2 linked regions of the Arabidopsis thaliana genome follow. The protein of the gene in region 2 interacts with the protein of the main gene of each other region in a pairwise test. Each region holds a gene or a part of one and is shown on either strand. Other genes may lie near its edges. The genes, in order: MYB73 and AT2G17670.

The links.
Region 1: the proteins of AT2G17670 (region 2) and MYB73 interact in binary tests that used the Arabidopsis thaliana proteins (3 or more experiments, as listed by UniProt).

What each region holds. Positions count from the first base shown.
Region 1 is NC_003075.7:17,538,649-17,542,571, reverse strand, and holds MYB73 (myb domain protein 73), read right to left. Parts: upstream 2,083-3,923; 5' UTR 1,971-2,082; coding exon 1,008-1,970; 3' UTR 773-1,007; downstream 1-772. Other genes in the region: HMA1 (heavy metal atpase 1), read left to right, coding at 1-162, 246-332, 421-585. UniProt on the Arabidopsis thaliana protein: Transcription factor that functions in salt stress response. Acts as a negative regulator of NHX7/SOS1 and CBL4/SOS3 induction in response to salt stress. In response to auxin, activates the transcription of the auxin-responsive gene IAA19.
Region 2 is NC_003071.7:7,672,235-7,676,858, reverse strand, and holds AT2G17670 (Tetratricopeptide repeat (TPR)-like superfamily protein), read right to left. Parts: upstream 2,541-4,624; 5' UTR 2,440-2,540; coding exon 1,048-2,439; 3' UTR 583-1,047; downstream 1-582. Other genes in the region: AT2G17660 (RPM1-interacting protein 4 (RIN4) family protein), read right to left, coding at 3,291-3,500; AT2G17650 (AMP-dependent synthetase and ligase family protein), read right to left, coding at 3,923-4,624.

The sequences.
Region 1 (3,923 bases), on a different chromosome or scaffold from region 2:
GGGATTAATGATGCTCCAGCTCTAGCAGCTGCAACAGTGGGGATTGTTCTTGCTCAACGAGCGAGTGCCACTGCGATTGCCGTTGCTGACATCTTACTGCTTCGAGACAACATCACCGGTGTTCCGTTCTGTGTCGCTAAATCCCGCCAGACAACATCATTGGTAGATAAAACATAAAAGTCTTTGTTCTTAACCAGTTTCAGATGTTAGATTGCCTGATTTAACAAGAATGTATCATGTTGCAGGTCAAGCAAAACGTAGCTCTTGCATTAACATCGATATTCTTGGCCGCTCTTCCTTCAGTTTTAGGGTTTGTCCCATTGTGGTTGACGGTACGTAAGCTAATACCCACTACAAGCTTTTGTTATCCATCATTTACCCGAGAGACAAAACCGCTAACCTGCATTTTTGTGATCATAGGTACTTCTACATGAAGGCGGGACTCTTCTGGTGTGTCTAAACTCAGTACGTGGTCTAAACGATCCATCATGGTCGTGGAAACAAGACATAGTTCATCTAATCAACAAGTTACGCTCACAAGAACCAACCAGTAGCAGCAGCAACAGTTTAAGCTCTGCACATTAGGGGGTAACTTGCTGTTCTTTGTCTAATTCTGCAAAAGCAAGACACTGTGAATTGTATGATCGCTTATGAAACATCAAAATCGTATATATGTTTCGTTTCGACTGGTTTCTTCAGGTCATATATTATGTCACGTGAGATTATATTTACTACTTTTAGTTTATGTTTGTTTCCTCGTAACAAACCCATAGAATAAAAGTTTGAGAAGTGTTTTTGACTTTTCTTCTTCAAGTTTGTGTAAATTGTTAATAAATGATCTTGCTTTGCTTTTAATTGAATCACGAAAGAAGATCATATGATGATGATAACAAAACATTTTTTGATTTCGCTTCCTCCTTTCGTCGTCTCTACTACTGGCTCTATACATGAAAAGCCTGAAACTTTTATTTTCCCGAGAAACAGAGGGAAAACTTGTTCTTATCACTCTACTCCATCTTCCCAATTCCGATTTGGTTCACTATAAACTCTCTAAACCCAACACGACGGCTGTTTACACTTTGTGGCATACACGAACCGCCACCTCCGCCGCCAGAACTACTACCACCGACGTTTCCTCGCTGTAAATCCGCCATGTAACTCCTCACCTCCGTCCTTATCATCTCCTGAACCACCGTCATGAACTCACCACCGAATCCACCAGATATCCCCTTCGCTTCTTCTTCTTCTACTTCCACTTGCTCTTCCTTTCTAACCGGAAACAGCTCCGCCGTATAACCACCGTCCATAACCGTATTCTGGTTAAGTTGAACCGGCTCGTTGACTCGAACCGTCTCGTCAGTCCAAGGAAGAGACAAACTAAGATAAGTTGGAGGATCTTCACCAGACGATGACGCTGTAACCTCAGATCTAACCGTTGGTTTAAACACGTGTGCACCACCACTAGATTGCTCGCTGACGTCAGATCCCGATGGACTTCCGGGACTCATATACAAGCCAGTCGAGACACCACCACCACCACTCGCCGTACGTTTCAACGGTTGCTCTTCTCCTAAATTACCATCATACCCTCCATTACCACCAAAATCACAACTTTGCCCTTCGACGCTGCATTTTCGCTTCAGCGTCGAGTTCCAATGATTCTTGATAGCGTTATCGGTTCGTCCATTGAGAAGACGAGAGATCGTAGCCCACTTGTTACCAAACCGAGCGTGAGCTCGAATAATCGTCTCGTCTTCTTCCTGCGAAAAAGCACGGTGCTCTACCTCCGGAGATAGCTGGTTACACCACCGGAGACGACAAGATTTGCCGGAACGTCCAGGGATTGATTTGCTAATCAAAGACCAGTTCCTCGGACCATGTTTCTGAACAAGCCTCTGCAACAGATCATCTTCTTCTGGACTCCATGGACCTTTAATCCTCTCCATATTCTTACGGGTCGGGTTTGACATCGCCGGATCTTTTTATCGGATTGTTCTTTTTTTTTCTTCTAACGCGTCCTCTTTTTTTTTGGTCGTTACAGTTTTTTTTTTTGTGTGTGTTGGGAAGAAAAGCTTTTTGGTTGAAGAGGATAAGAGCAAGAAGAGAGAGTATTTATACGAGAAAGGAGTGGGCAAAAGGGTCACCGGTTCAACCGGTAATTTTTTCTTATCGATTTAACAGAAACGATATTAAACTAGTTAAACTTTACAGTGTAATATTATCCTTAACTGCATAAAAATATCTAACGTATTATTAAAAACAAATTTTATAGAAGGAAACAAATAAAACCGTTTTCTCTATTAATAAAGAGATTTGCTCAGTGTTAAACGGATAACTATGGTAGTTCAAACAATAAAAAATAAAAACTGATAATTATGGTCGTTACTCGTTAAACAATTTTGACTCATTCAGTCAAAAAAATATTGGTGAATTTAATTAATTTAAACGTATGATTAACCATTGTTTATATGTTCATAATTATGTGTCCATAAATGGGCTACGTACAAACCTCGTTAACGTTTGGGTATAAAAAAATTGACAACATTTACGTGTTTGTATGATTGGAACAGATATTTATTTTAAACCAAAAATAAAACACGTTGGCGATTGGAAAAGGCGTTTTGGGAGATAAGCGTTTGTGTGAGGTTAACATCGAGCGTGGAGAGCAGAGAATCTTCCAGGAAAAACGGTTGGGGACTTGGGATACAGCTGTATATTAACACGTGTCAAGTAAGTATATGTACTTTGAGTTTGAGATTTGCTTTTTTTTTTTCAATTGTTCTTTCTTTTTTTTGAGAGATTTGTTTTCTTTTGAAGAGAGAGTACGCTCGTACACAGGAGCGTTTCTTCCACTCTCTGTTTTACAGGTGGAGCGTTTTTACCCAATCATTTCATTTTCCATCTAAAGTGACACTCACAAAAAAAAATCGTTAACTTCTACGTTTTATTCTCTCTATATTTATATCCTTTTTAAAATCATTCTCTTTTTGAATATTTGTTAACTTTTTCGTATGTTTTTTGAAGTTTTATTTTGTAAAATTTTGATACTATTGTAGAAGAAAATGAAATCAAGAATGGCAATGTATATCAAAAAAAATATTAAAGGCAAAATTTTGTAAAAACTAAGAATCTGCTGGAAACATACATATTGCTTTTAAAAATAGTAAGTGCAACAAAAAGACTACATAGAAGTCAATAAAAAATAGCCGAAAGTTTTTGTGTTATGAACTAAAGTTTTTTGATAAGTTATTTTCAATATTTTACACTGTTTGTTACATGTCATTGTCTTCTGTGTGTTGATTGATACGTGTGGTTATTATATAAACGAACGATTGGTCCAATATCCAAATTTTGGTTAAGATGTAAATTGTGTCGGTGAAAATAATGTAGACATTGTAGTCGTTGACAGCGAGTTCTAGGCTTCTAGCTTACATGCAACAAGTGAATGTAATAGTTTTGCAATGTTTGGTCATTGAATTTCTAACAAATATGTACGTGTAAGATACTAGATTAAATATGAATGTTGCAAGTAATAGATCGTTTATATTTGTCAAGTGATAAATTGTCGTATAGAAGAACAACTAAACCGAAGAATTACTAATCCGGTTCAACTTAGTTAACCAGAAATTGAAAGGGTAAACGCCGGTGAAGCGCGTGTAGGATGATGATATATATACAGTGAAGCAAACTTTTCAGGATATATATGTAACTTTTATTTATGTTCTTTGTAAAACAAAAGTGTGTGTAATTGGCAGAAAGAGAGAACAAAACCTAACAAACTGAAATACAACAAATATCTAGATATTCATAAATATCTAAAACCAAGTTCCACTTCATGCAACTTTGCATATATACACACGAAGTTCATAGATTAATTACACAAAATAATGAAAATGAATAACTTAAATACCCTCCAAATTTTG
Region 2 (4,624 bases):
TATGATAATCGATAGATTACACAATGATGGTAGGCGAATCATGTATTCGTGGACCTCGCGGTACGTACATTTCTTCCTAATATGTATCTATTTCCGTAGCGTTCTATTGTTTAATGGGGGAGACAAAGAAACAGATGTTGCAGCAAAATACACTAGATAATGAAACATGACAGAAGAGAAATCAAAATAAACAAAAGAGTTTATTCACCAAATGATTAGAATTTGGTCATAAACAATGAAATAGACTAATACCAGAATGTTGACCACTTATAAATCTTCTTCATGATTCCATTAACGTTGTCCTCTGTTTTCTTGTCCCCCTCAATGATTTGGTTTGTACTTTGTAATTCAACTGATAATTCACAAATACTCTGCACTTGGGCTGCTTAGTGTTAAAACAGAGCATATAAGAAAAGATTGTTCAAGAAGATAATAGTCTCTTCTTGCAGCCAAACAAGAGAAACGATCTCTTTATTCAGATACTCTGCCTGATTTAATACCCCAAACATATAGCGTAATTGTCAAAGCAAATATGATTTGCTTGATCTCTCAAGCAACAATCCCAGGCAAGATCAATAACCAAAATTGTTCACAAGAAACAATCTTTACTCAGATACTCTGCCTCATTTACCCCAAACAGATATTGCAATTGTCAAAGCAAATATTATTTGCTTGATCTCTCAAGCAACAACCCAAGGCAAGATCAATAACCAATTATGGTATTCACAATAGCTCATAAGAACAGAGTACATGACACTGAAGGCAAGAAGCTGATACAAACAGAATAATAGAATATGACTGTTCATATAGAAACACAGCAACAACTTTCACCCAATCAATAACTCGAGTGTTAAGGAAACCTTTAGAAATCTCAAGTGACAATAATATTACCAACAAAGTTACTATTATAAATCACTGCTGGTCCCTTAAGAATCGAACAGCATATTTCGAAACAAATTCATTGCTTTTGGAGTAACACTACTTCAAAAATGAAATATGGACTTGCATAAAGAAGAAAGTCGGTAAAGCTCAGCTAGAGGATACCATTTATGGAACCAAGCCTTGTTCTTTAGCTTTTTTCAACCATTTCAAGGTAGTTTCAAGTGTAGAGTACGCAGAAGCATCTGACAAACTCTTGCTATCAACTGCATAATCAAACACTTCATAAGCCTCTGCGACCTTGCCACTTTTAACCAGAGACCTCACAAGTGTAGCATAACCATTACTCTCAAGCTTTACACCACTTGATTTCATCATTTCATATAACTCCATCCCTTTATCCATCAACCTTGCTTTACACAATCCATGAAGCAAAGTATTATAAGTACAATCATTTGGAGCACACCCTCTTGCTTCCATTTCTTCTAACAAACTCAACGCACCTAAAGACTCACCTTTTCTACACATTCCATTCATCAGTGATGTGTAAGTAGCAGTATCCGGCTCATACCCCGCATCAACCATAGTTTTCAAATACATCCTAGCTTCCTCAACTCTACCAGCTTTCGACAGTCCAAATATCAAAGTATTGTAGGTAATCTGATCTGGCTCAACACCTTCTTCCTTCATTTTCTTATACACACCAACCGCCTCACTCCCTTTACTCAGTGTGCAAAAACCTTTCATAATCGTGTTATAGAGGAAACAATCCGGCTTAAACCCAGCATTACCTAACTTACTAACTAGATACATTGCCTCCCTCAAGTTCTTAGAGTTACAAACATTATCAATCAAGATAGTGAAGCTAACAAGATCCGGCTTAACATCGAAATCATCTCTCATCTCATCAACAAACTCATAAACAACATGAAGATCTTTGCATTTGCACAAATGCTTCAGTAGAAAGTTATAAGTATATGTATCCGGAGGAGAGTGTTTCTCAGTGAGCTCCTTCATCAAATCCTTAGCTTCATCAACCCGACCCGTTTCGCAAAGAGACCTCACCGCGATATCGGTAGTTACTTGATCAGGCTCTAAACCATTATTAACCATGAGATTAAGAACTCTATGAACATTCGAAATCGACGAATCAGGAGCTCTACAAGCATGTGAAAGCAAGATAAGGAACGTTGAACGTCCCGGCCTGAAATTAGGCTGCGATTTCAAAATATGCTGAAAGAGTTTCACCGTATCGTTGACGACGGCGATTGAACCGTATGATTGAAGAACAGAGTTGTGGAACTTGAGATCGAGTGGGATTCGTGAAGTGGCGGCGATTGAATTGAAGAGGCTTTTAGCGTCTGAGAGATTTGGTGACTTGAATGGATTCCTCAAGGAGGGCTCGCGAGGGGCTTGAGTATTCTGGGGAAGTTTGGCTGAATCTCCTCCCACGGCGGTTCTGTTGCGAAAATCTCGCGGCGGCGCTGGAGGAGATGGTGTTGTTTTTCTGACCAATAAGTTCGCCGGCATACTACGAAACGACGACGGAACTTTCCCCATTTTTTGTTTTCTTTCGATTGATCGCAAAAAGGTTTTAGCTTTAGGGTTCTTGCAGAGGTTTTTGTGACTCTGTTGTGTTGAAAATGGACAGAGGACGGCGTATAGTAGTTACACTCGTGTACTCTAGTTGCTTACGTTAGCAAATGAGAGAAACCGTGGCAAGACATTGGGCCTATTGGGCTTGTTAATATCGGCCCAAAGTGTGGGTGAAGATGCATTTTGTCTGTTGTGTTGAAAATGGACAGAGGACGGCGCATGGTAGTCTGTTGCTTACGTTAGCGAATAGGAAAAACCGTAGAAATACATTGGGCCTATTGGGCTTTTGAATGGTAGCCCAAAGTCAGTTTGTGCGATAGCCTCTCTCCCTCAAGGCCTCAACACAGTATTTTCTTTGCTTTCTGTACAAGTTTGTGGGCAAAGCCCTAAAAACAACAATCTTTCCGCAAAATGTTCTCTAAAGAACCGAAAGATCTTCTGTGTTTTCTCAATAAACCCCATACAAGAACATTGTTCTACAGACCAAATCAATAGAGATTAAAGAAAGGTTTTGTAAGGAAGAACACATTTTGTATGAATTTTGAACATGTTCAAGAGTTTGTGTTCACCTCAATATCTAAGAGACCTTTTTTGTATGACTTTTGCAATTCTTTAATCAACAACTACAATTTTGTTGATTTCCAAATGACCAAATGCAGAGATTTATCATTAAGAAACAAAACCTCAGAATTTGTTTTATTAGATAACTAAAAACGAAATGAAATGTTCTAACACAAAAGTTGTCAAAGGGCTCATAAGGCTCAAAGCTACATTCTCTTAGGATTAAAACTTACTCAACAAACAAAAAAAAAAGATTAAGCAAAAGTGAAACAGAGCCATTTCTTGACCGCTGGTTTATCACCATCTTGTTTCCTCTGTGAATTCGTCTTCGTCGAACTCCGTCCCGTCTTTTTATCTTCACCGGCTTTGCTGAATATCACCGTGAATCCATCCGCCGTCGCTGGATCATTCACATCCCATTCCCCGAATTTCGGCAATGCCCTTCCAGCTTCATTCGACGCCATTATCGATCAAGAAAGTAACAATCTTCTTCTTCTTCTTCGTCCTCTTGTTGTTGTTGATAAGTCAGATGGTTTTGTTTAAAGATTCTAACACAGGATGCAGATTTATTTATAATGGAGAGAAGAGAGAAAACAGATAAGTAAGATTGTGCTTTGAAATCTTCCTACGAAATGGACTCGTTTCAGACACGGCGGAATATTCTTTTGGCTACTTCTTTCTTTTTTTAATGTCTTAAAATCTTTCTGAGGCACAAAAATAACAAAATCGTTGGCCTTCCGCGTAACAAATCTAATTATAGCCAAATCATATCCATGGCTGATCTGTTTCTTCATTTTCACGCGGTGGTTTTATGATTCTCTGATCTTTGTTTCCTTACATACACACATGAACCAGAGACTAAGCTTTTTTGTTTCTTACATGGCGATTACAAGCTACCCATTTCATCAGCTTTCTTCCTCAGAAGATACTTTTGTACTTTCCCCGTCGAGGTTTTAGGTATGTCCCCGAAAACTATAGTCTTTGGAGCCATGTAATGCGGCAAATGATCTCGACAGAACCCGATAATCTCCTCGGGTTTGATGGTATCAAATCCTTCTTTCAGCTTTACAAAACCGCAAGGAGTCTGTCCCCAGTGATGATCTGGACGTGCTACAACAGCAGCTTCAAGAACCGCTTGATGGCTGCACAAAACTCTCTCAACCTCCACTGAGCTTATGTTTTCTCCTCCTGAGATGATCACATCTTTTAACCGGTCTTTTATCTCTATGTACCCGTCTGGATACTTAACAGCGAGATCACCACTGTGGAACCAATCTCCCTCGAAAGCTTTTCGTGTTGCCTCTATGTCCTTGAAATATCCACTCATCACAGTGTTTCCTCTGAACATAACCTCACCCATGGTTAAACCATCATCAGGGACAGTCTCCATTGTCAGCGGATCTTTCACATCGAGCCCTTCTAGACCCAAATGCTGCACTCCTTGTCTAGCCTTCAACTTAGTTCTCTCCTCCAACGAAAGTGAATCCCATTCAGGTTTCCACACGCAATGTGTCCCTGGACCGTATGTCTCTGTCAAACCATAAAGATGAGACACATTGAAACCTAATTCTTCCATCTTAGCCAGGAT